Ovis aries: one gene and its partners. The protein of the gene in region 4 purifies or fractionates together with the protein of the main gene of each other region. This does not show direct contact. Links are inferred from orthologs where the notes say so. Each region holds a gene or a part of one and is shown on either strand. Other genes may lie near its edges.

Region 1 (7,311 bases), on a different chromosome or scaffold from region 4:
GGGTGGGGGCTGAGGGGAGGGGAAATGGGTGAGGGTGATTAAGAGATACAGACTACTAGGAATGAGATAGGTAAGTTACAAGGGTACAGTGGACAGCATAGAAAACACAGCTGTCTTTACAACTTTATAAGAGCACAGCCTATAAAAACACTGAGTTACTATGTTGTATACCTGAAACCGATACGATGTGGTCCGCCTGCCAGTCAAGGAGATCTAAAAGACGCAGGTTCTATCCCTGGGTCGGGAAGATCCCCTGGAGTCGGAAATGGCAAACCACTCCAGTATCCTTGCCTGGAAAATGCCATGGACAGAGAAGCCTGGTGGGCTCCAGTCCATGGGGTCACAAAGAGATGGACGTGACTGAGCAACTGTACTTCAATTGGAAAAAATTAGAAGGAAATAAGTGACATGAATTTCCCTTAAAAAAAGAAAAGAAATGGACCTTATTGAAACCTGAAACTCTGATGAAGGGTTTACATCATCCTTCATTATTTTCTTTTTAGCGAGTACCACTGAAGGAAAATTACATTTTAGAATTGTGTTTGTTATCAATCTCTCTCCCCTGTCAGCTAACTAAAACAGCATTTCTGAACCTCTTTTTCATTATTACTATTGAAAGGAGCCTTTGTAGACTTCTTTTTTTTTCGTAATCACTACTCCCCACAACTTTTTATTCCTGTGGGAAAATATACATGATACAAAATTCACCAGTTTAGCCATTTTTAACTGTTTACGATTTTTTAAAAAGTGGTGCAGTTGGGTAGCATTAAGTCCATTCACAATGTTGTGTAATCATCATCATCATCCATTTCCAGAACTTTTCCATCTTCCCCAGCTGAAAAGCTGTACTAGTGAACAGTCTCTCCATCCCCCAACCACCTCTCTTCTCCTCTCTGCCTCTGTGAAGTAGCCTATTCTAGGTACCTTACATAAGGGGGACCATACAATATTTGTCGTTTAATGTCTGGCTTACTTCATTTGGCACAATCTGTGTTGCAGCATCTATCAGTTTCATTCCGTTTTTATATGGCTGAATCTCTGCAGGAAATTTAATACCACATGTTAAATCTATTTATGTGCTGCAGACCTTTGTAGGGCCACGAACCTTTGTAATACGGAAGGCTTTTCTACCTCCCAGGGACCATGATCCTTAAAGCCCGTATCCCCTGACCTGGTTGATCTTGTTCTCGGATCTGTCTCCAGTTGTTAGCACTTCATGGTCACTGAACAGTCAGTCATGTGTTGACGACTTCAAGGTCCTTCTATGACCCCTCCTTATAATTTTATTAATCGATTAGAATTAAAAACCACCCCCAGCGTAATCACAGGCGAGTCCTGACAGTCAGTATCCCAGCTGTGCACGCCCCTCTCAAGGCCCTGTGTCCGCCTGCTCTCTCCAACAGAAGTGAAGGACTACGAGCCTCCGTTCGGGTCTAAGGTGCGGGAGCATCCCTGCGTGGAGAGCATGAAGGACAGCGTGCTAAGAGACCGGGGCCGGCCAGAGATCCCCAGCTCCTGGCTCAACCACCAGGTGAGGGGGGGCCGTGGTATTCACCCAGAGGGAGAGGGACAGCTCAGGCAGCAGAGAAGTCCAGGCGGCTGGGCACCAATCTGATGTGTTCCGTGTTTCTGCTTGGTTTTCTTCATAAAGGAGTTTCAGTAAAAAGGGATGACCTTGTTACTGTATGTCCCACCACAAGTAAGAAAGGGCTCAAACACAACGTGTGACGGGCACCTGTCATATTGTCCAAGACCCCTTGGTTCTGAACTAAAAGATTGTGTTTACAGCCTCTGCCACTCATCCTTTCCATAGGGAGTTTGTGTTTTGCTGTCTTCTGGGTTCCAAATGTTTTCTTCTGGGAGCCTTCAACATTGGCAGGAACTACTTGTGAGAAAGAAGGGGACTGTCCGCCAGCTGGCCTGTGAGGGGCTGCTGTGTGCTCAGGCCGCTGCAGGCCTCTCAGGGAGGAGGCCGGGATGAAGAAAGGCAAAGAAGAGCAGAGGGCAGGGGAACAAACAGGAAATCTGTCTTTCCAGAATCTCCTGACAGGCGGTGGATGCGGCCGTCCGTCCGCAGCAGATTCTTTGCTCTGGGGGCATTTTGATGGGGCAGCAGAGGGGGAGGAGGACCCGTGGGCTGCGGGAGCCGGGACGGTCTGGCACAGCAGGGAGGAGCTCTGGACCACAGCCCCGTGCTCCCAGCTCACGACACCCTGTCTTTTCCATTGACGTAAACCTTTTATGGCTGCCTTTGGATGAATTCCCTCACCCAGGGAGGGCTGGGCTAAGTCCTAGGTTTCCTAAGGGTAAGGCAAATGCAGATGAGAAGCCGAAACCACAGGTCAGGCGTGGCCAAGGAGACAGATGGAGCAGGAAGCCTGTGTGTACCCGCCTGGCTGAGAGCCGCTTCAGTGGGCAGGCCCGCTGACATCAGGGAGAGCCTGCACCAGGCCATGGACCCTACCGTGGGGGCCCAAGGTTTCTCCCCGGCTTTCAGCAGAGCCTCTTTGACTTTGAAAATGCAAAGCTGTTTTGTGTTCACTCTAAACTCAGAAGGTGCGATACTGTTTCCTTCAGCTCTGTTGCCTCCTCTGCCATACAGTTCTTATAATGAATAGCCATTATTTATGATGGTAAAATTCTGGAAAGAATTTGCATAATACATTTTTCCTCTTAATGAGATTTGTTGCCCTATTGATTTCAAGTTAATGCTTAATATTTAATTTAATTTACTGCCTGTAATTACAGTGCCAGAATAAAATAAATGTTACTTGTGTACCAATAATAACACTCCACTCTTAACAGGGCCATCAATCAATACCATCAATTAGGGGAATTATACAATTAATCCAACATCATGGGCTCACTCATGGGGCAGGAAGGGAGGGCAGGTGCTGGGTGTGGGGTGCTGTTGCTCAGACTGCAGACAGGCAGGTGCTGCTCTCAGGGAAGGGCTGGGATAGATGCATCCCCTGGGCCACCCGTGTGCGCGCTCACCAGTGGCAGGGCCGGGCCTCTGAGAGGCAGAGTCTGTTTCCACTCTTTGGGCTACATAATTAGTCCATGTCTGCCTTATTTCCAAAAAACAACTTGAACTAACAAAAGCATTTGCAAAATGAGAGTTAAAGCCACGAGAGAGACCGTGGTTGTCTGTTGTGGACAACATTTTCTGGATGGGCCTTTCTGAGTGGGGCCTTCAGGGGGTTAGGTCAAGACCCCTGATACAGCCTGCAGGACATACGAAGACAGCTGTTTCCCAGGGTCCAGGCTGAAGCTGGAGAGGAAGGGCCGAGCAGAGGGTGTCCTTGAAACTGTTGGAAGATGGGCTTGGATCCTTACAAAGCATGTGGGCTTGACTAATGTAACCAGACTCATGCCCACATGTCCCTCCAGCTGGGATAGTCAGTCCTGTTTAAATAGGAATGCGGGTGGCTCAGATGGTAAAGAATCCGCCTACAGTGCAGGAGCCCTGGGTTCGATCCCTGGGTCGGGAAGATCCCCTGGAGAAGGGCACGGCAACCCACTCCAGTATTCTCCAGTATTCTTGCCTGGAGAATCCCCAAGGACAGAGGAGCCTGTCGGGCTACAGTCCATGGGGTCGCAGAGTTGGACACGACTGAGTGACTAACACACACATGTGATTCCAGCTCTGACTCTCTGGAAACTGTCTCATTGAGACAGTTAAGAGGTCAGTGGTTGTTGGGGGCTCGAAAAAGGAAGGAGGGCCGAGGAGGCACACGCAGAGGATGTTCAGGGCAGTGACCTTGTGAGGGCTGTAATGATGGACGCTTGTCAGAACCCTGATCCTGTACCTCACCATGAACCTCACTCTGGCTGACTCTGGTCAACAGTGATGTGTTAGTGTTGCTTTACTGGCTTTAACAAATGCCTCACACAGATGTAGCGTGTTGATGGTGGGGGAGGCGGTCTGCGTGGGGGGAGGGGCTAGATGGTATGGAAATTTTGCTGTGAACCTAAAGCTTCCCTCAATAGTAAAGCCTGTTACTGCACCCCCGCTCCCCAGAAGAGAGAGGTGGGAAATGGCAGTGCAAGCCCACTTCTTGGGAATTTTCACGAACGGGTATGCTGCTGTCCCCAGAAGCCTGCTGGGGACCTGAGCCTCTCTATCTGTGTCTCTGCTTCCCCGCTTCCTGTGAGCGGGAGACCCCGAGTGCTGCGGTCAGATGGCGCCGGGGGCTCCCCGCCCCAGGAGCTGCCACCCCCTCTCAGGGGCCTGTGGACCCTCTCCCCCTGCAGGGCATCCAGACGGTGTGCGAGACGCTGGCCGAGTGCTGGGACCACGACCCCGAGGCCCGGCTCACGGCGCAGTGCGTGGCCGAGCGCTTCAGCGAGCTGGAGCACCTGGACAGGCTCTCGGGGAGGAGCAGCTCGGAGGAGAAGATCCCCGAAGACGGCTCCCTCAACACTACCAAATAGCTCTTCCCGCGGCCGGCCCAGCCCGGCCGCCCTGTGGCCAAAGAGCAGGGTCAGCAGGAAGCTGCCCCTGACGATGCTTCCTGGAACCCGGGGTGCTCCCTCCCCCGAGCTGGGAGGGGGTGGCAGGAAGCAGCCTCTGCCTTTGACGTTGTCATAGGATAAGCTGTGTTAGCACTTCCTCAGGAAATGAGATTGATCTTACAATAGCCAATAACATTTGCACTTTATTAATGCCTGTATATAAATATGAAATAGCTATGTTTATATATATCTATATATGTCTATATATACACAGCCATACTAGTGGAAAGAGGTGAGGACAGAGATCACACGTGTCCAGACGTGGGCTGGATGGGCAGCCTCAGCACTTGGTGGCACGCATGTGCTGGGCTCAGGGCACAGGGGGAGGGGGTCTCTGCCTTCAGAGAGAGGCAGCCTGCTGTGCCAACATTGCACTTGCTTTTGCAACGTAGTAACTCCCTGCACCGGGTCCTGTTCTGGCTGTGGAGCCAGTCGGAGCCGCACTGTCTGGGGACCAGACCCCGAGGCCCCCACGTCCCATCATCTCTCCTGGACTCGGCACTGAGCTTCACACCCGCGTCTGGTTTGTGAACCGCCTTCCTCAGCTAGCTCTGAAAGTCTCATTGCGTTAACGTTTTAAGTCCCATCTTTTACCTCCACAAGCTACAGAAAAATCAGAACATGTTTCCCTACCCGTGAAATTGCCACACCTTGTACTGAGAAAGTGTTCTTTTTAAAAAAGTCCCCCCCCAACCTATGTTACTGTTCCCCATTTCCTAAAAGGGAACAGATCTCCCTTCCAGGTTCTTTATGTTCAGTTTTTCATCACGCTTGGTTTCTGTCTTCCGCTTGCTATGCATCACTGGTAGGTCTCAGGCTCCAGGGGGCTTGAGCACGTTTTGGCCGCATGGACAGTATTGAAGCAGCATGGTGCTGCGACAGTCAGGACTGTCTCTCCAGGCGCTCGGAACGTGTGTTTTGCTTGGCCAGCACAGTGTTTAACAAAATTGAGCCACTTTTTAAATATCTGGAGATTTTGCAAAAAAATCTGGGATCCCCGAGTGAGACTAGATAGCAGACAGCTTACAGTTCTCACTGTCCCACATCATTCACAGATGAAGGTGTAGACACACTTAGAAAGCTGCTCTCTCCCCCTGTTCTCACCCTAGTTTGGGAATTAAACCTTCTTTCCCCAGCCAAGGTTCCCTGCAAGAAATGTGCATTCACGCAACCATTCTCTGGCTAATAGAGTGTGGTTTTGATTCCCTTCCTGGGGTTAAAATTTGAAGTTGGCCTTTTTTTTCTGGAGTGACAAGGACTGCCTCTGGATGGTCCCTGTTAACCCAAATCTCTTTTGCTTGTATGTTAAGAGTGTTCCCCTCTGCATTCAAGGGGGGAGACCTTTACTCCAAGAAGTTGTTGTCATGGTTACCAGTCTCTTAGTCTCTTACCCACCTTCCCAGTGTTTGCAGAATTTGAATGTGGGATGCAGGAGTCCCATCTGCAGTTAGGAAATCTGTGTCCATGTGGGTAAGAACCAAGAATGAGCTTTAATCCTCCATAGGAAACTTGGTAATCCACAAACAGGTGTTAATGCTGCAAATAAGCTCTTTTGTAAAAATGATTTGAAGCTTGTTTTCAGCCGAATAGGTAGGAATATTGGAGAGGGACTGGCAATGATCAGATCAGCTCTGCTTGGGTTTTGGAAGCCACATCTCGTTGGGGTTTTAGCAGACACGCTGAAGTTGGGATTAGGTGGAATTTTTAGGAACCCTTCTTGGTTCAGGTGGACTGACAGAGATAAGGCAGTTTGGCCACAATGCCATGGAAGTGCCCAGAAGTCCCGTGCACTTTAGAGCTGGTGATGCTGTCCCAATAGCTGTTGCTCATTGACCTCTAGTGGTGAATTTCTAGAATACTGGTCCATTATGAGAACTTCCAAGATTCAAAAGAGCTTTATCACTTCTGGGTCATCATCAGCATAAACTGGAATGTAGATGATACTGTGGCTTGTTTTATGTTTGTTTTCTCCTTATTCAAGAAAAAGACCAAGGAATAACATTCTGTAGTTCCTAAAAATACTGACTTTTTTCACTACGTAAAGGGAAAGTTTTATTCTTTTATGGAACATTTCAGCAATACTCATGTATTAAAATAGGAATGTGAATGCTGTATACTCTTTTTATATCAAATGTGTCAAGCACTTATTTTCATTCTATGCATTGTCTTTTATATAAATAAAATGTTTATTCGATTGAATAAAGCAAAAGTACTCAGGACAGCTTCCTGCCTCCTGTTCCTGTTCATAGGAGCCCGCAAGCCTCATTTGGTTATTTTGTAGTCTGCAGAAAAATCCACAAGACAGATCCTCTCCAGCTTTCCCACGTTCCCTGTCATCTTCACCTGACTGTGGCAGGTTCCTATTTCTAAAAATCAGTCACTTAGTACTGTGACATGTGGCAGGTGCTGATGGTGTCTTGCTCCTCATCCCAGGGTCAGCACGGTGTCACTCTGCATCTCTGAACAGTACATGTCCATTGTTTCCCCGTGGCCTCTCCTGGGGCGTGGCCTCTCCTGGGGCGTGGCCTCTCCTGGGGCGTGGCCTCTCCTGGGGCGTGGCCTCTCCTGGGGCGTGGCCTCTCCTGGGGCGTGGCCTCTCCTGGGGCGTGGCCTCTCCTGGGGCGTGGCCTCTCCTGGGGCGTGGCCTCTCCTGGGGCGTGGCCTCTCCTGGGGCGTGGCCTCTCCTGGGGCGTGGCCTCTCCTGGGGCGTGGCCTCTCCTGGGGCGTGGCCTCTCCTGGGGCGTGGCCTCTCCTGGGGCGTGGCCTCTCCTGGGGCGTGGCCTCTCCTGGGGC
Region 2 (7,311 bases), on a different chromosome or scaffold from region 4:
TGGTCCCCTGGATTTCATAAAGCAGATCTGGTAGGCTTGTAAATGGCCAAAAAAAAAAAAAAAGAAAAGTAAAAGTACCTGATCATAGAGCTAGAGATTATTAAACAGGAAACGTAACACAATTATAAAACAAACCTCTCAAACTCACTCATTTGCTTTGATGAAATCATGGTAACTACAGAAAAAACTCAAATTTGGACTCAAAATATTAACCTCTAACCAATATTTTCCCCATGTTGTTTTTAAACACGTGAAATTGACACTAAATTCCTATGAAGTATCTCATTCATTCTAAAATTACTTTGGCTTTAAGACCAAATAGTCTTTAAAATTTATTCTATTTATAAGAAATAAGACGTTATCAGAATGCAGCTCAATCAGCATAAATGGCCACTATCTCTTAATGACCAAAATACTGTAAAGGTAATTATTCTGACCCTTTCATCAGGAAATTGATAGCTCTATAAGGACATCTTGCCTCACAGCTATGATAGACTTTCCTCCCTCAGATTAAGATCACAGTGATAAAGAGGACTTTGAAAAACTGTAAAAATCCTGCAAAGACTTTTAGCACTGGAAGTAAAACCAGTTATTATAAGCTACTTTCACCTTAATGTGAGAAGGCCATGACAGATTTGCTTTAAACACTTAATTTCACCATAAACATCTGTAAATGGAGAATCTATCCTTGGAATATGCCTTAGCTATCACCTTCCCAGATATTGAGGGTGCACCAAATTCACTCCATAGCCATATAAATTAGGCAGTTGCAATATCTGCACAGAGAAGGAAAGACTGAATTAGAAGCTGCCTTTCTCAAAGTGTAGTGCGACCTCAAAACCACACTGACTCTAACCTTAGCTACGAAGACAAAGTCCACAGAACAGTGACTCCTACACAACGGTGTGACTCTCAAATACCTGTTACTATTCAAATTATCAACTACCTTTACCTTCCTAGAAAAAAGCCTATTTAACATTAACCATATTCTAATTTTAAACGTAATTCATTTCTTAAAAAAATAACACTGTCTTTGATCAGATAAAGAAAAAAATGGCTTACAGAATGCCACACAACTTTTCACAAGCAGCTAGACAAATTTTCCCTTTTAGAAAAATTTGTCTGTATGCTACAGATTTTAAGTTATTAAAGTACTATAAGCATCAAGAGTGCCACTTGATTTTTTTAAAGTGTACTTAGACAATACAATTAAAATGCAAAAACTGGATGAGAATACTTAATTATGACCATGATTACCATTTACCAATTAATGCCATTTCATTTCTTTAGTGGTTTAAGCACATTTTGGTAGGAGAAAGGCATTTTCAAAATGGAATACCAAAGAACATACCAGAAAAACTCTTCCAGAAAACAAAACAGAGTAAGTCTGGGTTATCCAGGTAAATAAACTTTTGAATTAAAACATGACAGGTTTAACACACAGAGAGACTTTAAGCAGTTCTACTCATTTCCATTAGAAAGACACAGAAGTGGCACTTACTGGTATAGTACAATCCCATTTTGAAGGCATGTAATGTTCTGAATATGTGAAAGAACAATAATATACAAAATACAATTGCATAAATTATGTTCCTCACTACTATATGAGGTCATTTTTAGACTCAAGAGTTTATAGGTGTTAGTTTTAAGATCCTGAAAATTATAGAACAGTACATTCAAAGTCTAAATCAAAGAAACTCTTTAGTGGTTCAGAATCCTCTGAGAATGTACTAACCAGGAGAAATCACTTTCTTTAAAAATAAGAAATGTTTCATATAACTCAGCCATCCAGCTCCTTTACCCTTAAAGATGATCTTCAGCACAGCAGTTACCTAAAGTTAAGACCAGCAATCATTTAAAAAAACAAGTTCTGTGTTAATAAAAAATAAAGGTAGACTACACAACATTTTGTAACTGTCCTGGGAAAGAAGCGTTCATAGTGCACAGAAAGGACCCCACATGGCAGTTTCCTGGGTCTGAAGAAATCCTGGGATGTTTTAGTTCACCTTGTTACATCGTCATAAAAGGAAGCAATATCCTTCTGTTCCCTCTCAGTGAGGTAGAACAACTGACCTCCCAAATTAAAACCCAGGAGCAGATCTGAAGAAGAAGTAGAGTTCAGGCAAAGCCACAGAATTTACATTTTGATGCCTTCTTGCTGACTGAGTTGTGACAATGTTTTCTTAATCCGCAAAGCTGTAAGCCTAGCTGCTCCATTGGCATACCAACATTCTCTCATAATTTTAGCCATTACTCTCAAGGCCTACAAGAAAAGAAAAGAAAGATCATTAATGCATGCACCATGTTTCAACGACCTGGATAATAATCTTTCAGTTCAGTTCAGTTGCTCAGTCGTGTCCGACTCTTTGCAACCCCATGAATCGCAGCACGCCAGGCCTCCCTGTCCATCACCATCTCCCGGAGTTCACTCAAACTCACATCCATCGAGTCGGTGATGCCATCCAGCCATCTCATCTACCTGTAAATTTTCTTTTTAAACGACATACAAGTATTTCTGTTTCAGCATTATTTGTAATAGCAAATGAGTAAAGATGACCTAAATTCCCATCAGCAGGATACTGGTGCCAGCAGCTGGAAAGCAGATGGACAAAGGAGGATTTACTTGGCAGCCTGAGAAACCTGAATCCTCAAAAGAGCTGTGCAAAGCAAAGAGAACCTGACTCACATGAAATGGCCCCCAAAACTGAGGAATTAACTTATATCCTGTATCCCTGGGGTGAAGTTCAGGGTAAAAATAGAATCAGCCAAAGAAGCTGGAAACCCAGATACCTGCCCTGCCCCAACTTCACACAGCTGGGTGACCATCCCACCCCATCCGAACAGAAGACAAGAGGTTTCAATCTGAGAGAGCAGAACAGATTCCCGTCTTGGGGAAATAAGGGCAAAATTCCACACTGACAACACACTAAATGCTAAGACAGTAAACTTTCTCCCCAGAACACGGCCAGTGACTTTACATGGTCCTCCAGGTAAGAGACCAGAAGAGTCTTCAGCCCAAGAAGAAAAGCCTAAAGAGAGACATCAGTGGTTCCCCAAGGAAGCAATCCAGTTACTTCACCCTTAGACTGCAGTGGAAGATAAGCTCCATTCACGTGCACAAAGCTTCCTATCAGCTTTCAGTGCTGCTTTTATACAGAGCATGAGCTTGATCAAACATTTCAGGAAAGTAATATGAAATGCAGAAACTGACACAGAAAACAACACCTTGGAAAAACCAAAAGGTGTATAGAAGACAATATCAACAATCCATCATTAATATCTTCAGAGATTACTGATACTGGACTTATCAATACTTTTTTGGGGTTTTGTTTGGTTTGGGGAAAGTTTTATGAAACCACAAGATAAACCTGAGTGATAATAATAAGACCAAAAGATATAGGCGGATTCCTTTCCCAGAAAGTAGAGAAAAGAAAACAAAGAGATGGGTAATAGGAAGAAAAACACAAGAAAATCAGAATGCCTGTTCAGGATGTCTACATTCATAACCAGAGTTGAAGAAAAAGAACGGAAAATGGAAGGGAATACTTGAGGAAAATTTCCTAGAAATGAACATTTGTTTTCAGGTAAAAATGACCAAGGGTTCAGGACATGCATAAAATCATCCAGCAAACTGAGTGCCATAATCCAGATGCCATCCTACATGCATCTGGTAGGATACACTAACAGACACAGCAGTGAACTAACAGACGACATTTCTGCTCTCATAAAGCTTACGTTATAGAGGGCTAGAGCATATAATAAATAAGCAGAATGCATGGACTGTCCGTGCTAAGTGCTGAGGAGAAACATCATTTAGGGAAGGAGATAAAATATGCCAGGGGGGGGGGAAAGTGCTATTTTAAATAGATTGACAGGTAACGTCTCACTGACAAGGTAACATCTGAGCAAAGAGCTGGAAGAGGGGGATAAATGAGCAAACCAAGAAATGTGAAGACATGGGATTCAGAAAGGCAGTCACCACAGAAGAGGCAAGAGAGATCACAGGTGAAAGGTGAGGGATATCCCAAGATGAAAGCTGGCCTAGAGCCAGACTGGCTTTTCAGACTGGAAAAGGTCAGAGGGCTCTGAAAAACACTTCCGTAGGCATCCTATCAGTTTCAAATTCTCAATGTGTTTCAGCTACTGAGGGGAGATTTGTAAAACCCAAGAAAAGTGAAAGATTAAGTTAGTGATACAAAACTAGCTAAATCGAGAGAAAATCTAAAATGACAGTGATGGCATTAATTCAACATGCTGCGACAGTAATTGCAACTTGCATGTATGTTTTTAATGTTAACTACTAACTTCATGCTTAATTAGCCATCTGTTTAATATTAATTTGCTCTAATTTGCTTATTGAATGAGTGCATGAATAATTCCAGTTTGTAGTGTCAAGATGAAATTTTTCAAAGACAAAATCTAGGCCAATTTCATTTGTTAAACATGCAGGTTCTGTGAGCACACAATATATTTTGTCTGGGCCTGCATACTGGATTTCATTGGAGGCAGCCAAGGAACTCTCTTGATCTCACAAGTATCTAATGAAGTCTGCTGCTGCTAAGTCGCTTCAGTTGTGTCCTACTTTTAAGATGTAAAATAAACTACTTAAGTGAACAGCTTTTTATTCTTCCTATACTACAAAACATCAACTCCAAAGGGAAATGCTTTGTTTTACCAATATTATAATAGTATCATAATAATGGTTGTTAACTCAGTTGTGTCTGACTCTTTCTGACTCCATGGAATGCAGCACGCCAAGCTTCCCTGTCCTTCACTATCTCCCAGAGTTTGCTCAAATTCATGTCCATTGAGTCAATGATGCCATCCAACCATCGCATCCTCTGTCACCTGCTTCTCCTGCCCTCAATCTTTCCCAGCATCAGGGTCTTTTCCAATGAGTCAGCTCTTCACATCAGGTGGCCAAAGTATTGGAGCTTCAGCACCAGCCCTTCCAATGAAAATTCAGGGTTGATTTCCTTTAGGGTTGACTTGGTTTGATCTCCTTGTTGTCCAAGGGACTCTTCAGCACCACAGTTCGGAACCATAAATTCTTAGGCACTCAGGCTTCTATGGTCCAACTCTCACATCCATACATGACTACTGGAAAAACCATAGTTTTGACTATACAGACCTGTGTTGGCAAAGTGATACCTCTGTTTTAAATATGTTGTCTAGGTTTGTTATAGCTTTTCTTCCAAAGAGCAAGCATCTTTATTAATTTCATGACTGCAGTCACCATTCAGTGATTTTTGAGCCCAAGAAAATAGTCTTTCACTGTTCCATTTTTTCCCCACCTATTTGCCATGAAGTGATGATCCTGGATGCATGATCTTAGTTTTCTGTATGTTGAGTTTTAAGCCAGCCTCTTCACTCTCCTCTTTCACCTTCAACAAGAGGCTCTTTAGTTCCTCTTCACTTTCTGTCATTAGGGTGGTATCATCTGCCTATCTGAGGTTATTGGTATTTCTCCCAGCAGTCTTGATTCCAGCTTGAGGTTCATCCAGCCCAGCGTTTCACATGATGTGCTCTACACATAAGCTAAATAAGCAGGATGACAGTATACAGCCTTGACGTACTCCTTTCCTAATTTTAAACCAGTTTGCTGTTTCCATGTCTGGTTCTAAGTGTTGTTTCTTGACTGCATAGAGGTTTCTCAGGAGGCAGGTAAGGTGGTCTGGTATTCCTATCTCTTTCAGAATTTTCCAGTTTGTTGTGATTCACACAGTCAAAGGCTTTACTGTAGTCAATGAAGCAGAAGTGTTTTTTGGAATTCCCTTGCTTTTTCTATGATCCAACAGATGTCGGCAATGTGATCTCTGGTTCCTCTGCCTTTTCTATATCCAACTTGTGCATCTGGAAGTTCTCATTTCACATACTGTTGAAGCCTAGCTTGAAGGATTTTGAGCATTACCTTACTAGTATGTGAAAAGAGTGCAATTGTGTGGTAATTTGAACATTCTTTGGCATTGCCCTTCTTTGGGACTGGAATGAAAACTGACCTTTTCCAGTCCTTTGGCCACTGCTCAAAAAGTTTTCTAAATTTGCTGGCACACTGAGTGCAGCACTTTAACAACATCCATCATCTTTTAGGCTTTCCATCACCTCCACTAGCTTTGTTTGTACTAATGCTTCCTAAGGTCCACGTGACTTCACACATCAGGATGTCTAGCTCCAGGTGAGTGATCACACCATCCTGGTTATCTGGGTCATTAAAACCTTTTCTGTACAGTTTTTCTATGTATTCTTAATACCTTCTACTTCCGTTAGTAAAAGCAATTAAGGATAAATAACATTTTTCTTATAAATTCTTTAAAAGTATAACTACAAAAGTATTTCTAAAACTTTTTGTAAAGAGCTGGGGTTGAAAAGCTCAGATACTGCTGAAAAGCAGTTTCCACAAATTCCTGATGAATAGTCATATGAGCAGTGAAATGAATAAAATATAAAATCATCTGAACCATCTTCACAATCATCCAAATCCCTTATTTTACAAAAAGGCATATTAAGGTCCCAAGAACTGAAGTGCTTTGCCAAAAGTCAGATTCTGAAACATATGGTAGCCAGGATCTAGAATATAGGCCTCCTGATTCCAGCCAGCACACAGCCCACTGTTCTGGGCTGCCCTGGTTGAAAGGTGGCTTTAAAATATACATATACATATACATATACATATATATATATATATAGTTTTTGGCTGTGCTGGGCCTTCATTGCTGCCCTGGCTTTTCTCTAGTTGTGGCACTTGGACTTCCCATTGTGGTGGCTTCTCTTGTTGCAGCCACAGGCTCTGAGGGCATTCGGGCTCCAGTAAGTTTCAGCCCCCGGGCTCTAGAGCTCAGTAAGTGGTGGTGCATGGGTTCAGCTGCTCTGTGGCCTGTGGGGGTCTTCCCAGATGAGGGATTGAACCCGTGTTAACTGCAGTGACAGGCGGATTCTTTACCATGGAGCCACCAGGGAAAGCCAGGAAGCTTTAGTTTAAAATGCAGGAGCCTTGTTTCACTGGCAGATCTAAACACTGCTCTAATAAACGGATGGCCACTCAAAATGTTCCATCGCCTTTGCAATGTGCTTGAAATTGAACATAAAAACCAAATTACTCTGTTTTTACTCATTGATATAATTAGCTATGAAAAAAGAATGGGAATTCTTCTGTTTTCCTTAAATAAAAGTAGCAAATTTCTACATACTAACCAGAAGCAGTTTAGAAAACTGTATAATATCCAAAATAAATACTCACTTCACAGCTCTGCCATCTGTTTGGAATATTTGGCCTTAACTTCTGTTCACAAACAACTTTTCTCATTTCTTCAA
Region 3 (7,311 bases), about 130 Mb from region 4:
CACCACATCATAGAAGGGTGGCCGGTAGTCCTCCACGATGCCTAGGGATGTAGGACAATGGGACAGTCACTTGGGACCACAAACACGTCCCATACCACCCAGAAGTGAGCCTTGCCCACACTCAGTCCCAGGGTCCAGGAAACCAGCTGCCTGCCCATGCTACCTCTGAGAGGGACACCATAATATAATAAATATATTTATAAACAATAATTACTGCCATTTATCTTACACTTACCAAATATGCCAGGCATTGTGCTATAAAATGCACAATCCTATTAGTCTTCACAGCAACCTGACCACCCATTTTACAGATGAAGAAACTGATGCTCAGAGAAGTTGAGCCCAAGGATACACAGCTTGTAATGGTAGAGTCAAGACTTAAACACATTGCATTCATAGGACAGATCTTGTTCCAGTCTTTCCACAGCTGCCTCTCACCCAGGGTCAAGGTACTGCTTCCAGGCCCCAGCTATCAGAGATGCCCCAAAATAGCTAATGTTTACTGAGCAATTACTATGTGGCAGGCACTGTCCTAACCGTATGGCATGAGATCCTCACAAAACAACCCTATCAGATGAGGAAGACTATTAGCTCCACTTTATAAGCAATGAGGGGGCTCCCAAGTCACACTAGTGGTAAAGAACACATCTGCCAGTGCAGGAGGCTAAAGAGACTCGGGTTCTGTCCCTGGGTCAGGATGATCCCCTGGAGGAGGGCGTGGCAACCCACTCCAGTATTCTTGCCTGGAGAACCCCACGGACAGAGGAGCCCAGCAGGCTACAGTCCATGGAGTCGCAAAGAGCCGGACAGGACTGAAGCAACTTAACACACACACACACACACACACACACACACTCACTCACTCACTCTCTCTCTCTCTCTCTCTCTCTCTCTCTCTCTCTGAAATTCAGGCCAGATTCAGGCCAGAGAGGTTAAGAAGCTTGTCTAAAATCACACAGATAGTAAGTGACAGAGCTAGGAGTTAAGCCCAGGAAGTCTTACCAAAGCCCATGCTCTTGACCTCCAAGCTACACTTGAGGGAGGGGGGCAGACTGCTGGGTAAGGATATAGAATGAGGAGAAGGGGAAGAAAACACATCTTCGAAGGGAAGGAGATTTACCCAGGTCCAGATCACATCCACTCACTCTCAGGGGTGGCACAGGCCTCTGCTGACCCCCTCAGCCAGCAGTAACCCCTCCCCTCATCATCCCAAGTGTGCCATCCTGAGCAGGATCTTTCTGAAGATGATGCTGGTGGAGCGGCAGTCACTGAGGCAGAAGAGGCCAGACCCCAGAAAAGCACCTTAGGCCCCACCCTTCTTCCAGCCCGAGGCTGGGGGCTGCAGCCACACAGAACAGCCACAGCCTCAGGAGAGCCCGAGCCAGCTGTGCTCCCCGTGGCGGGCGTCCAGGCCGGCCCCCGTGCTGCTTGAGCCCTAATCAGTGCTGCGCAGAGGCCTGAGCGTGTCTAATGGGCCTTTAATCAGCGCCGGGGCTGACACCAGATTACAGTGTTTATAATGCGCCGCGAATCTGTGTGGAGCTGACAGAGCTTCCCTCCTCCCCAGGAGTCTGCAATCAGCCTCCTCTTCAGCCCAGGCTGGTCCAGCCTTCCTTTCCTGCCTGTGGCTGGGTCCGAGGGGCCTCGGTTGCTTCCAGGTGCCCCCTTTACCAGCCCCAGCCTCTGGAGTTTGTGTCTGAACCTGAGCCCAGCAAGAGGGTGGTCCTCAACCTGTCAAGACTCCTGGCAGCCCCTCTCCGTGGACAGCCTCCACAAAGACTGACCAGCCTCCCTACCTGGTCCAGAGCACCACCCAGCACCCATCCACCCCAAGACTGGGAAGGCACCAGCCACAGGGCAGGCCCTCTATGGGACCGTGAAGAATGAGGTCCCTGTGCCTGCTCCTCTCCGAGCTTCGGTTCTCTGTAGCACCCGTGGTAATAATGAGGCAGGAGGGACTTCCTTGGTGGTCCAGTGGTTAAGACTCCACTCTCAGTGCAGGGGGCACTGGTTCGATCTCTGGTCAGGGAACTAAGATACTGCATGCCGCACGGTGCAGCGAAAAATAGTAATAATAATAGTAAGGCATCAATAAGCAGGAAGTGCAGGCACTATTACATCCTGCATTTCTGAGGGAACAAGGACCAAAGAGGTGGAAGTAGCTCAGTAATAAAGAGCACTGGTCCGAAGAGTCAAAGTGCCTGGTTTCAGACCCCAGTGCTGCCGCTAGCCAGCTGTGACTCTGTGCCTCAGTCCCCCAACCTGTAAAATGGGGGTGCTGCTCTGTCACGCATTTGTCATTACGACAATTGCCACCAATATTTACTGAACTCCACTACAGTTCCAGATACTGCCCTGATTACCTTATTTGGATTATCTCAACAGCTGGAAATTATTTTTCTTCTCATTTTACAAATGAGGAAACTGAGGCACAGAAAAGTAAAGTACTTCACACATGGCAAAAATCAGGCACTGAACTTAGTCTGATTTCCCTCCGTTGCTCTTAACCACTGAAGCATACCACCTCCCTGCCAACACAGGACAATTCAGTAGGATAATACATGTACACAGCATGACATCTGGCACGTACTGAAACTCAATAAATGTTAGCTGTTATTAATATTTCTGTTGTTACCAATTACCCGAGATTTCGCAGCCAGAATCAGACTCAGATGAACCTGCAAAGGTCGCTCAGCTGAGCCAGCTGGTGAGTGACAGGAAAGGGAATTTGGAAGGCCTGACCACAAGCCCCTCAGGCCACTGGCCGGCGGAGACAGGAAGCCCTGCCTCCCACCTGTCTGCCTGGGTATCCTCCGGCCCTGTTCCCCTGTCCCACCCTGTGCAGGGGGGTGCCGGAGGCTCACCGTTGACAATGGTCCGGCGGGTGATCTCCCACAGCACCAGGCCAAAGGCCCAGATGTCCGTCCACTTGTAGGATTCGAAGCAGTCGGTTCGGATCTGCTCTTCCAGCACCTCGGGGGCCATGTACCGCTTGGTGCCCACTCGCGGGTTGTTGCCAATGTCCAGGTAATCACTACCCTGGGAGTGCATCACAGCCAGGCCTGTGGGCACCGGGCCTGTCACTGCCGCTGCTCACCCGGGCCCACAGACAGGGTGGCCCTGGGGAGGCTGGAATCCCGGCGTGAGGTGAGAGGGCGACAGACGGCAGGACACAGAGGGGCCGGCAACTGGAGACCGCCCTGAGCTGGGCTGGGAGCCAGCAGCCACAGGGAGAATAACTGTCCCTGTCATACTTGGCCTGCGTGGCGCTCTCTAGGCGCAGGGATCCGGTGAGATGCGAGTAGGCAAGGCAGGCATATATTTCAGAACTGAATCCCAGCGCACGGTGACAGCGAGCAATGTGCTCAGCAAAGCCGGGATGAGAACCCAGGTTGCTGGCTCCCTGCCCCTTTCTCCCCACACCTGGAGCCTGGCTGAAGTGGTGGAAGGAGTCTGGGCTTGAAAATACTGTTAAGGCCGCTGGTGGGGTGTGGGGTTCTTGTGGAGGTGAGACGAGAACACACACACACACACATGCCTGTAAGTTTTAAAGTGCCAATCAGTGTACACACACACACACACAGGAGGTGAGATGAGAACATACACACATCTGTAAGTTTTAAAGCGCCAGTGTGTATACACACACCCCCACACCCCTGTGAGTTTTAATTCGGCCAGTCAGGCCACTGAAGCCAGGCATCCAAACAGGCGAAGGCAGAACCGCGTGGAGAGGGCGGGCGCTCGGACTCCACGCCGGTCAGAGGCCCGCCCTCCGCGCTCACCCAGGTCGGCGATGCAGCACTGCAGGTTGCTCTTGACCAGCACGTTGCGGCTCTTGAGGTCGCGGTGCGCGATGGCCGGTTTGCCCTGCGTGCCGAAGATCTCCACGTGCAGGTGCGCCAGGCCGCAGGCCGCGGACACGGCTAGCTTCAGGGCCAGCTGAGGCTCCAGTGTCTGCCTCTGCAGAAAGTCGTAGAGCGAGCCGTGCTCGTGGTAGTGCGTGATGAGCCACAGCTGCGTGCTCGAGTTGCGGGAAGTCATGTCCGAGGCAATAAAGCCTGTGGGCGGAGGATCAGGTGGCTCACCGCGGGGCTAGGGATGAAGGAGGCTGGACCGGTCAGGGTCAGGGCTGGGGAGACAGGATGGAGAGGTCAGGGCAAAGCTGGGAATGGGGTGGAGGCTGGTCTGGCTTAGGGCAGAGAGGAAGCTGGAGTCAGAAGCTGGGGCCGAGCGCAGCTGGGAGTCCTTCAAGGTTAGGTCAGTGTCCAGAGGCCGGGTGATGGGGCAGGGCAACGAGAACCCCGGGCTGGGCCCAGCGCTCCCTGCCCCATCCCCGCTTGCCTAGGATGTTGTCGTGTCTGAGCAGCACCGTGTTGTAGATCTCAGTCTCCCGGAACCAGGACTGTTCATCTCTGGAGGAGAAGATCTTGACAGCTACGCTCTCACCATGCCACAGGCCCCGCCACACCTCGCCGTAGCGGCCCTTTCCTGATCCAGCAACCAGAGAGGAGGGAGGGGGTCACATACTGAACACACAGAGCCCTTGGGCACAGTCACCCTCAGAAGAGGCCCCCCTCCCATTGCTGCCCTGGCTCCAACTGCAGAATCTCTGAAGATTCTGTTTAACTGAATTCAGACCCACGCGCCTCTGGCAGGCCACCTCCATTTGCCTCTTGTTCCACCCCAGCTCCTGGCCAAGGATCAGGCACTGCCCCGTCTCCAACTCCCTCCCTGACTGGCAGAATTCCTGTTCTGACCCAGGCCTGGGCCCACCTATGACTCCCTCACCCCTCCAAGCTCAGTGGGAGCACTTGGTCCCCATCCCCTGAGCTCACCCACTGCTCACCCACACACTCCACCAGGGCGACCTGTCGAGCCACTGTCCTCTGCACCAGGAACGGGAGCCCTGAGCCACTGCCCGTGGTACAGCTACTGTCCAGGAGGTCCTGGGAGTACCGAGAGGCCACTGAGGGGCAGGCCCCACCCACCAAATCCATTTCTCTGTCCTCAGCCTGGGCCCCACTGCCTCATCTCGCCACACTTCTCATTCACAAACCCCTCCCGCCCAGTGCCAGCCAAATCTGAGTGCCTGCCACGTGCCTTTCTCAGCCACCTGCCACTCTGTGCCCCCTCTGACTCTGTGGCTCCTGTCTACCCCCCACCACCCGGTGTCCCAGGTTCCCCCAGGCCCGCACCCCCAACATGCTGTCCCCCTGCTCAGACGGCTTCAGGATGAGGCTGGACTCGCCCAGCTCACTGTTCGCGCCCCGCTGCTTCTCCTTCCTCCGCCGGACATGCCACAGGCCCAGGGCACCCAGGACTACGAGTACTAGCAAGGCCAGCACGGGGCCCAGGATCAGAGGCAGCTGGTCATCTCCTTGCGGCTGCTCCGGAGGAGTCTGGGTGGCTGGCGGAAGAGGGATACTGAGGCCCAGCTTCCACCAGGCCGGATGCCCCCCACCTTCCGCTCTGCCAGTCAGACCCCGGGGCCCTGCCTCCCCCACCCCCCAGGCCAGAGCCTGAGAGGCAAGCAGGGCAGGGAGGGCAGAGTCAGAGAAGCCCAGGAGGGGTTTCCAGGGCAGCCGGACGTACCTTCTAGCACCAGGGACACGTTGTGGTTGCAGAGGCGGCTGTAGCAGCAGTAGTGGTTGACGAACTCCGTGGGGCGCGCCCTACAGACCTCTGGGTGCATGTTCCCGCAGCCCCGGTATTCCCGGAGGTGTCCGTCCTCCCACACCAGCACAACTGTACACCAGGACCCCTGGCAGGTAGGCCCCTTGCAATGTGGGTTCTCACACGTGCAGGTCACCAGTGGGCCCCGAGAGGGTTTCAAGGGGTCACCTGAGGGACACACTAGAAGCTCAGCCACTCTGGGCCCAGCTCTCCAGGAGGAGCCTAACCCCTAAGTCTGCCCAACTGCCCCCTCCCTTCTGAGCTCTCAAACCAGCCCTTTGAGGTCCCAGTCCTTTAGTTTCATCCTCAGCCTTCCCTCTAGCGACATATCCCCACCAGGGGCAGCTGCCACCGTGAGAACCAGGCTTCTCTCCCTTCCCTGATCCTTGGACCTCTCCTCCAAGTTCCAGTCGCAGCACGCCCCCAGCCCCAGTGCTGAGAGCTCTACCAGGCCCCTCTGCCAACAGCCCCACTGTCTGAATCCCCATACACATGTTCCCACCCTGGAGTCTGAAAGAGCTCCAGCCTATTGGTTTGGATCAAGAAGCTAGCACAGGAGGGTTAGGGTAGCTGAGAGCTCAGTCTCACTGAACCCTGTCTCCCCAGTCCCTCTCCTCCCAGCTCCTCAGACTCAGCCCAACAAGAGCTGAGCCCAGACAGCCCTTTCTTTATCCCCTCAGGCCCCTGTTCCCTACCTGCTTCCCCAGTACTCACCCTGGGTCAGGCCCAAGGCCATCAGTAGCATCAGAAGCCTTCTCCTGGGAAGGTTCAAGGTCATGATCCCTGGAGAGGAGAAGGGGTGCAATAACATCTATGAAATGTGATCACCCTCAGTGTTTTCAGCCACTGACTGTGGGTCCCTCCCACCCAGAGGAAATTGCTGGGAGATTTTTTTTTTTGTTGGGGGGGAGGCAGGGAGGCCTCCTCCCTGTGTCTGGCTTTGGGGCGGGGCCTGCAGGGGAAGTCCTGGTTCACTTCCCCATGGAAACCATCCTGTTAGGGGTAAAGGGTGGGGAGCCATGTTTAAGTGAGTGAGAGCTTGGGGGACTCCCAGCTGTCCTGCCGCTGAGTGCAGACTGGAGGGCGCAGAGAGCGTGGGGCTGGGGTGGAAGGAGCAGCTCTTCAGCAATACCCCACCCCTGTCTGTCCCTGTCCCTTGCCCACCCCTTCCCAGCCTCCACCCCTGCCCACCCCTTTCCCAGTGCTCCCCCCCCCCCACCCCAGGCCTGGCTGCCTCAAACATAAACAGGCTCCTGTCTTCACTTCCTGCCATTCAGGGTCCCGCCAAGCTGGGAACAGGAATCAAGATTGTTTAGATTGGGGTCTGGATAGAACAGGCAGGAGTCACGCACAGCAGGGAGCTCAGGACATGGTCTCAGGGCAGGCTGGAGTCGCTACAGGGTCTGCAGGAGCCACCTGGGGCTGGGACACCCCCATGACGGAATCCTCATTCACCCTGTGAATCACAGAGCCCAGTTCCTTATTTCAGAGAAGATGGGGGTCAAGGCTCAGCCAGGAGAGGAGGCTTGTCCAAGGTCAAATGGGGTTCAGTGGCAGCGGTAGGGGTACAACCCAGGTGTCCAGACGCCCAGTCCAGTGCTGCTTCTACTCCTTATCCCAATCTGGGGTGCCAGCCCA
Region 4 (8,036 bases):
AGGATCCAGGACTTCCCTGGTGGTCCAGCGGCTAAGACTCTGAAACCCCAGTGCAGGGGCCCAGGTTTGATCCCTGGTCAGGGAACTAGATCTCACCTGCTGCAATTAAGAGTTCCCATGCCACAGTTAAAGATCCCACATGTTGCAACTAAAAAAAAATTAATACATAAAGTGTAGAGATTGAGAGATGTTGAAGTTTCAGATCCTGATTCTGCTCCTTTCCAGCTTCCTTTCCATGCCTCAGTGCTATTACTTGTAAAATGGAGTGGTCATAGTTAAAATACCTTCCTTGGTGAGTTGGTGGAAACATTGGTAAATTGACACAAGCATGGTGCTAAACAGGATTCCTGCTCAGGAACTAGAAACCGCTGTCAGTTATTTATGTCCACTGGGGGGAGATGTGAACGTTTCCATCAAACATACCTTATTCCTTGCCCTTTCTGTGCCCTCTCCCTGAACACTTCTTTTCAACTCCTATTCATCCTTCAAAACCCTGTTGGGAAAATCTCATCAGAACCCATCCAGTTGTTCTCTAGGTAGGAGACCCATTAAGGTGCAGGAAAAAAACCTAATGTGTGGGGTAAGACGATTTGGCAACAGAGAGAGCCTCATTGTCTTCCCCAAGGCACTATGGTGTATGGTTAGGTCCCGGGCTCGAGCCCCTGATACTCATTTCTGAGCTATGTTACTCAGGCAAATTCCTTCACCTGCCAGTGCCCCAGTCTTCTCAGCTGTGAAATGGGGCTAATAGGAGAGCCTGCTTCATCGGGCTTTTGTGCAGGTTAAGTCTGATAGTACACATAACAGGCCTAGAGCAGTGGTCTGGCCTTCATCTCCACCTTTGTCACAGGTATTAAAGTCAGTTTGGCCCTGGATGAGAGTCCTCTTTAGCCTCCAGAGCTGATGCCCCAAAGCTGGGGCTGGAGCTAGAAGAAGGGGCTCCAGAACCAGGGTGATCAGTGTTCCAAGCCTCCCACAGCCACCCAGGCCACCCATGGTACAAGGAAAAGAAGCTGAGTTCAGTAGACAGCTTGGATCTGTCACTAGTCCTGAGCCTTGATTTCCTCATCCGTAATCTGGGTATAGAGACAAAAGGCAGCCTGACACACTGGAGACGCAGAAGAGGTGGTCCCTCCTGCTCACCCTGATTCCTCACTAGGCCCTTGAGCAAATAAATAGACCAGGCTTGTCCTCCGAGGGCCCAGCACTGACCTAGTGGTGCCCATGAGAAATTGAGATCGATTCTTTCTCTCTCTCTGGGGCTTAGTGTTACCAACTATCTGGCCAAAGTGAGAACCTCAATTAATGGTCCTGCCCTCACTGTCCCAGGGAACCCCTGTCTCCTGGTTCACACAGCTCCTGCTCCAACCTACCTTTCCTCCCGGCAAACGAGAGGCTGCCCCGAATGCACTCTAGGGATGGATATCTGTAGGCTGTGTCCTGCATCCCTAGCCCCTTCTCAGGGGTCAGGGCTGGGGAGACTCTCACACAGGTGGCCAGCAGCACAGGGGACTCCAAGTCACACCTCTACCCTGTCTTTCAGTAAGCACTTACCCACACTTAGGAAACACTCTTTGATTCCAGCCACCCAGCACGGGCCACGAACCCCAGCACCTCCACTTCTGGGACTCTATCCAAGTGAAATACTCCAAAATACAGGAAAAGATGCATGTACCAAAAACGTGCTTGGAAGTGGTATTTATAACTGGTCCCCAAGGGGAAACCACCTAAGTATTCAACAACAAAGGATTCATTAGGGAAATGATGAGATGGCACGTTTAAGGGAGAGAATATTCTAGAACCACAGTGGAATGATCATGGAGTCCACACGACAACATAGAAAACTTCTGGGACATAAAAAGGGTGCATAAGATTTCCAGATTTGATCCACTTGCATTGAAATTACCTTAAAAAGCTAGACAATAGCCAGTAAGAAAGACACCAGCATGCTAACAAGGCCCAAATTAATAGAAGGAGCTGGGAGGTCATTTCCCCCACTCTCATCTATTTTCTTTGAGGAGCGGACTCGAGTGAATATATGGTTAAATTGCTTTAAAAAAATCTATACGTATTTGCTCTTAGAAGAAATTCCAGCATGACAGGAAAGTGTGTTTTAGAAAGTGAAGATCGTCTAGAGGAGCCTGGTGCTAAAGAGCAGTGACGTTGGGGTTTTCTTCGTGCATACGGTACGTCACATATGTGCTTGGTCACGTCTGACTCTGGGACCCCACAGACTGCAGCCCGCCAGGCTCCTCTGTCCTTGGGATTTCCCAGGCAAGAGTACTGGAGTGGGTTGCCATTGCCTTCTCCAGGGGATCTTTCGACCCAGGAACCAAACCTGAGTCAGCTGTGTCTCCTGCATTGGCTGGCAGTATTTTTTACTGGCTGAGCCACTTGGGAAGCTCACAGTATGTGTTTCTGCTATTTTATAGAACTGGAGTCAGTACTGTAGGAGCATCTGACAGTGTGTCCCAGACGGATGTCCACAACAGTGTAGATCTGGGAATATCTTTTTCTTGGTAACTGCTATGTGAGATTCCAGTGCGTAGTCAGCCATGTCATGGAGTCCAGGCTGGTGGACACTGCCTGGCTTTTGTTACAGGCACCCATGGACCATACATCCTTACTGAGTCGGGCAAGTAAGCCCTTGGGGCTGACTTCTGAAGGCAAGGATGTTACACAAGTTCGGGTTTTGAAAGATTCTGCCAGGTTGTGTTCCCAGAAGGCTAGATTCATCCAGGGACCTGTTTTGGTCTTATTTTGACCGCTGGGGTGCCAGCACCTGCCAGCAGGAGCAGATTAATATGTTATCAGGAGTTTTTCCAACTGGCTCTTAAACATAGCCATAATTAAAAATTAAATTTTATAAGCTTATCATTAAATAAATCACATATTTTATGTGTAATATATTTCAAATGTATACTATTGTATCGAAAGTCATAAACCCTAATTATTTTATTCCCCTTATATTATCTGTGTTCTTAAGGTTATCTACGTCTGTCATATCTGGGTGGTGGAAATAGTAGATAAAGCTTTATTATGGCGCAGCCGCCCCAACTCCAAGTCTGCTGAGCTGATAGCTTGAAATCAGCTGGGTGGGAACATTGACACCATGGATATTAACAAACATTAACAACCCCCCACCCCCACCCACCTCTCCCAAACCACTGTTGACTATTTGCCAGCATACCACTGCCTTCCATCCTATAAAACCCGACCCTAAAGAGCTGCGAGGGTCTTTCTCTGATGACCTAGAGGAAGAGAGTGTTATCAAACTAGAAAGTGGGGGAGGCTGGAGAAAGGCAAGATGGCTGGGGGCCTATTGTGGAGTTCAGGTACAGCTTCTGTCAGAACTGTGTGGAACTCAGCAGGTCAGAGCCTCCACTTCCCCTCCTGTAAAATGGGGTGATAGAGGCAGCCGTCTTGGAAGATAACTGGGAGCTTATGGAGAGTGGCTGCCATATCACTGCCTGATCAGGAGCAAGTGCTCAAAGGAGCCACAGGCCTGGGGCGAAACCCTGCTGGTTCACTTAATGTCTGAGACTCGGTTTCCTGTATTGTCAGTGAAGCAGTGGGAAGAGCTTAGAGACCCAGGACTAGAGACCTTAACATGCCTTGGCTGGAGTTAGGGGCTTCCCTGATGGCTCAGTGATAAAGAACCTGCCTGCAAAGCAAGAGACAGAAAGAGACTCGGGTTCGATCCCTGACTGGGGAAGATCCCCTGGAGAAGGAAATGGCAATCCACCCCAGTACTCTTGCCTGGAGAAATCCCGTGGACAGAGGAGCCTAGTGGGCTATAGTCCATGTGGTCGCAAAGAGTTGGATACGACTGAGCGACTAAATAACAGTAATGACAGGGTAGGGTAGGGAGGGGGTGATCATCATTGCTTCTGTTCCCATTCTCACCCCTCCACCCCTATCCCTTAAGGAGGTCCTGGATGTGCCCGAGGTGAGGGGGTGTCCACACGGCTATCTGGGGGCTTCAAATAAATGAGGGGCAGGGCACAGAGAGGCCCAAGGAGAGTGGCATGAGGGGCCAGGGTCCCCGACTCCTTGCTAACTCTCATCTAGTCATTTCAGAAGGTCGCAGAGGCCATGACCACCTGGAGAAGCCCCCAGGCTGAACCCCTAGTCTGGGCTGAGCCCCCATTCCGCACACTTCTTGGGTGTAAGCGGAGGGAGCACCCAGTCGGAAGGATTCCAGGAGCCGCTCACAGGCCCCAGGGAAGGTGAAGGAGGAGGAACGTAATCATAAAACCACAACAAACAGAAACCAGCTTGCCACTGACTTTCCCCGAGGGGGCTTCTCTTATCATCCTCTGCTCGGCTCACCGGCCCGAAGGCAGTCCCCCAAGATCACACCACGAGGAAACACAACGTGAGATCTGAACCCAGAGCCCAGGTTCTGACTCTGAGACCGCGCACCCTCCCGTCCCACCCATGCCTCAGATGAGGAACTTAAGGCCCAGAGAGGGCAGGGGACTCGCCAAGGGCTGAACAGCACTCTAGGACCTGGGCTTCCTGGGGAGAAACTGGACGTAGCTGGAGGCCAGTTAAGGTAAATAACTCATCCCTGTTTGCCCGAGTCGTTTAGGATGGAAAGTTCATCCTGCCAAACCGGGATGTTTGGTCACCCTGTGACATCTGTCTCGGGTGGTCCAGAACCCCCCTGACCCCAGGACAGCTCCACTGGGCAGGAGTCGGGACAGAGGGAGGAGGCCGGGAACACTCGGGGCCTGGTCTGTGCCCTGGGGGCCCAGTCACCCCCTACCCGGGTCCCTGGACACCTACTTGTGGGGCCGAGGCTGCACACGACCAGCAGCAGGGCAACGGCCTGGCAGAGCACGCCGCGGTCCATGCTGTCCTTCCGGGGGTCTGCGTGCGGGGCCTTATCCGGTGTCCAGGGGCAGGGCTGCGGACGGGTGCGGGGGCCGGCGTGGGCTCTCGCGGGGACCCAAGGGCAGCAGGCAGCTGGAGCGACGGCGTCCCTGCTCCAGCCTTCTGAGGTGGCGGCTGAGGGGTCAGGAGAAGCGGGCACGGGAGCGTGGGGCCAGGCCGGGGGGTTGCTGGCCCAGCTTTAAGCGGGGAGAGGCTGCAGGGCTTTTGTGGATGGTGGTAGCGGCAGCAGCAGTCCCGGCCTGTGGATACAGATGGAGGCTGGGGTCTGACCGTCAGCTATGGGAGCTCCGGCTCATCCAGCCTGGCCCGGGGAGGCAGGAAATGCGCTTCCTTAGAGAAGGGGCCGGGCCAGGCGGCCTGCCAGGCAGAGAGAGGAAGTGCCACAGGCTTTGTCGCTGGGTGGGGGGCCCTGGGGCGGGGGTGTTTGTTGGGGGGGAGGCAGTGGGGTGGGAGGACCCAGGCTCCAGGTTCGTCTCCCCACATACCCCACCCTCCCATCCCACCCTCTCCAACGGCTGGCTGGTGGGGTACATCTGGCAGCCCCAGGGGGGCAGATGAAAAGAACCATCCTAACAGCCCACCAAGGGGCACCATCAGGGGCCAGGCCTGGCCAAGGCCTGGAACTTCACGGGGAATTCAGCTCTGTGAACTCGCTGTCCCCGTTTTGTAGATGAGGGCACAGAGGCTTGATGAGGTGCGATCACTGACCCAAGAAGATGGTGGAGCTGGAGTTTGAACAGGTCTCCTCGGGCACCAACACTGGTTTCCCTAAGTGCGACACTGGGCTGGCGTTCCCTTGTTTTGTAAGCAGGGAGCCTGAGGCCCAGGATAGGGGAGCAATGCTCCAAAATTGGCACAGCGCGGCAGCTGGGGCTGAGATCTCAGGGCCCAGAGAGCGCAGAGGACAAGCCCACTGCCACACAGTCGCCCTGGAAATAAAGCAGGTACAACAATGCTTTCCTCGCCAGGCGGTTGCGAGATTTCCGTAGGTCCAGGTGCCATAGCACAGAGCTCTGGGCCCGGCACTCAGAAAGGGCTTGCCCATCACGCTCCCTGAGCCTGGGAGACAGTCCCAGAACTGTCCCTTGCTCATTTGCAAACAGTTAGCACCAACTACATGTCCGCCTTGGTGCTAGTCACGGGTAGCACTTTAGGATCAGCCCCAGGAGGTTCAGAGGAGGAAGCCGCTGCCTGGAGGAGGGAGCATTTAGGTCTGGCCTGTGGAGTCTGGGCGAGTTGCGGTGAGGGGGTGGAGAAAGGGGTGCGGAGGGCGAGTCAGGCTGGGCACCAGCCTGAGCAAAGACACAGAGGCAAGAAGTGGCCTGACAGCCGCAGGTCAGGCAGGGGTGTGGCGGGGAAAAGAGACCTAGAGAGGCAGACTCTGGCCTTGCTCTGGGAGAGGGGGCAGTTTTTACTTGAATTTAGCCGCACCGGCTCTCAGCTGCAGTATGCCAAACTCCAGTCTTTGTTACAGCAAGGATCTTCAAGTTACAGCTTGAGAGACTTTTAGTTGCAGCATGTGGGAATCTAGTTCTCTGGCCAGGGATCGAACCCGGGACTCCTGCATCGAGAGCACAGTCTTAACCGCTGGACCACTAGGGAAGTCCCAGGGAGTGGGGGGCCTTCAGGACTGTATCCTGAAGGCCTCGGGAGTCACAGAGGGTTCTGGAGAGGGGGTGCTGGCAGAGTGGGCTTGGAGAGGACGAATTTCCGTCCCACAGTGGGGACAGAGCCAGGGGCTTTCCCCTTTACACTTGTCCTGGTCACAGATGGAGAAACCGAGGCCCAAGGAAGAAGGAGAAGGTGGGAGCCCTGGCTGCCTCCGGATAAACCGGGGGCGAGTGGAACGTGTTTGTGTCTGTAGGAGCTGACCCCCAGGGCAGGAAGGGCGGGTGTGGCTCCTTGGGTGGAGGTGGGGAAAGGTTTGCTCGCCCAGCCCTGCGGCTGCGCGTTCCATGCCCGGCCAGGCTCGGGTCTTGGGTCACTGGAGACCCATCCCAGTCCAGAAAGGCCAGGAAGGCTGTGACAGAGCAGAGGGAGACCCCCGAGAGTGACTGTTCCTCGGCCTTTTCCTGCAGCCTCGGGGATGGGGAGGTGGGCATCACCAGGCACAGGGTGGCTCCAGTGGGGGAAGGTTGGGTGCCTGTGAAGTTCCCCAGGCACCCTCCCAACCAGAGTCCATGCCCCAGGGACAGTTAGTTACTCCAGTCCCCCCGGAGCTGAACTCTCCCTCTCTCAGGCCCCACCCTAGGCCTTCCTCTGTCAGCTCTGGATCCCCTCAGTCACTCCAGAGACACAGGAGGAACCTGAGGCTCCCTGAGGTTTGAGTGACCCCAGTTGGAGACCCCAGGGCTGCCTGGCTCCAAGCTCTGCTCCTTCCCATCTGCTCCCATCTGAACTTGGAGAGGACAGATGGCCCTAGGTGAGGGGGATTGTTATCCAGAATGGGTGTTGGGGCATCTGAGGCCATAACGGGGACCCCACAGGAGGCTCCTCTCAAACCTCCCTCCCGGGAACTTTCCTGGTGGCCCAGCGGCTAAGACTCCAAGTTCCCGATGCAGAGGGCCTGGGTTCTATCCATGGTCAGGATCCTACGTGCTGCAACTAAGACCCCATGCAGTGAAATAAATAAATATTTTTTTTAAAAAAATAGAAAACACTGCCCTCCCATCCACCCTCATGCTGCTAATCCATCCCCTCTCACACGGTAAGCAAGACCCACTGGGTTTCTCTAGAAAGTGGGAGAGGCCTAGATGGACCCAGGCCATGCTTGTTTGTGACTTCCAGGGAGAGAAAAACCTAAGGAGGGCCTAGAGTCCTGAGCCCAGGGGCCCGGTGGAGGGAGGAAGATGGGGCACCCAGGGCTGGAGAAGGGACTCACCCCAAAGCTCCCATGGCACCCTGACGCCGCCACCCCTCAGCCAGCCTCATGCTGTGTGAGTCTGCTCGACTAGCAGCCCCTCGAGGGCAGGGACTTAGATGTCTCTGCTCCACTGCTTCCCCAGCACAGAGCCCAGGAGGACCTTCTGGTCCTTAAGACTCACTGATTAAAAGCATGAAGTTCTGCAGAAGGTAAGGCAGGAGCGGAGCCGGGGACGCATAGGGCAACTGAGACACAGAGAGTTAGGCCTTTGCTC

The links.
Region 1: the proteins of ENG (region 4) and TGFBR2 purify together in Homo sapiens (affinity purification with western blotting; 3 studies listed by BioGRID). This does not show direct contact. The link is inferred for Ovis aries from reciprocal best matches to the Homo sapiens genes ENG and TGFBR2.
Region 2: the proteins of ENG (region 4) and TGFBR1 purify together in Homo sapiens (affinity purification with western blotting; 5 studies listed by BioGRID and IntAct, with this or other methods). This does not show direct contact. The link is inferred for Ovis aries from reciprocal best matches to the Homo sapiens genes ENG and TGFBR1.
Region 3: the proteins of ENG (region 4) and ACVRL1 purify together in Homo sapiens (affinity purification with western blotting; 3 studies listed by BioGRID and IntAct, with this or other methods). This does not show direct contact. The link is inferred for Ovis aries from reciprocal best matches to the Homo sapiens genes ENG and ACVRL1.

Annotation. Positions count from the first base shown.
Region 1 is NC_056072.1:5,221,423-5,228,733, forward strand, and holds the end of TGFBR2 (TGF-beta receptor type-2), read left to right. Parts: exon of another isoform or gene 1-437; intron 438-1,403; coding exon 1,404-1,531; intron 1,532-4,257; coding exon 4,258-4,437; 3' UTR 4,438-6,739; downstream 6,740-7,311. UniProt on the Homo sapiens protein: Transmembrane serine/threonine kinase forming with the TGF-beta type I serine/threonine kinase receptor, TGFBR1, the non-promiscuous receptor for the TGF-beta cytokines TGFB1, TGFB2 and TGFB3.
Region 2 is NC_056055.1:48,709,335-48,716,645, forward strand, and holds part of TGFBR1 (TGF-beta receptor type-1), read right to left. Parts: coding exon 7,238-7,311; intron 2,264-7,237; coding exon 2,138-2,263; 3' UTR 1-2,137. UniProt on the Homo sapiens protein: Transmembrane serine/threonine kinase forming with the TGF-beta type II serine/threonine kinase receptor, TGFBR2, the non-promiscuous receptor for the TGF-beta cytokines TGFB1, TGFB2 and TGFB3.
Region 3 is NC_056056.1:134,404,641-134,411,951, forward strand, and holds part of ACVRL1 (serine/threonine-protein kinase receptor R3), read right to left. Parts: exon of another isoform or gene 7,026-7,311; intron 6,457-7,025; coding exon 6,388-6,456; intron 5,842-6,387; coding exon 5,593-5,841; intron 5,408-5,592; coding exon 5,196-5,407; intron 4,947-5,195; coding exon 4,847-4,946; intron 4,489-4,846; coding exon 4,342-4,488; intron 4,059-4,341; coding exon 3,783-4,058; intron 3,063-3,782; coding exon 2,865-3,062; intron 42-2,864; coding exon 1-41. UniProt on the Homo sapiens protein: Type I receptor for TGF-beta family ligands BMP9/GDF2 and BMP10 and important regulator of normal blood vessel development. On ligand binding, forms a receptor complex consisting of two type II and two type I transmembrane serine/threonine kinases.
Region 4 is NC_056056.1:8,359,839-8,367,874, reverse strand, and holds the start of ENG (endoglin), read right to left. Parts: upstream 5,225-8,036; 5' UTR 4,859-5,224; coding exon 4,792-4,858; intron 1-4,791. UniProt on the Homo sapiens protein: Vascular endothelium glycoprotein that plays an important role in the regulation of angiogenesis. Required for normal structure and integrity of adult vasculature. Regulates the migration of vascular endothelial cells.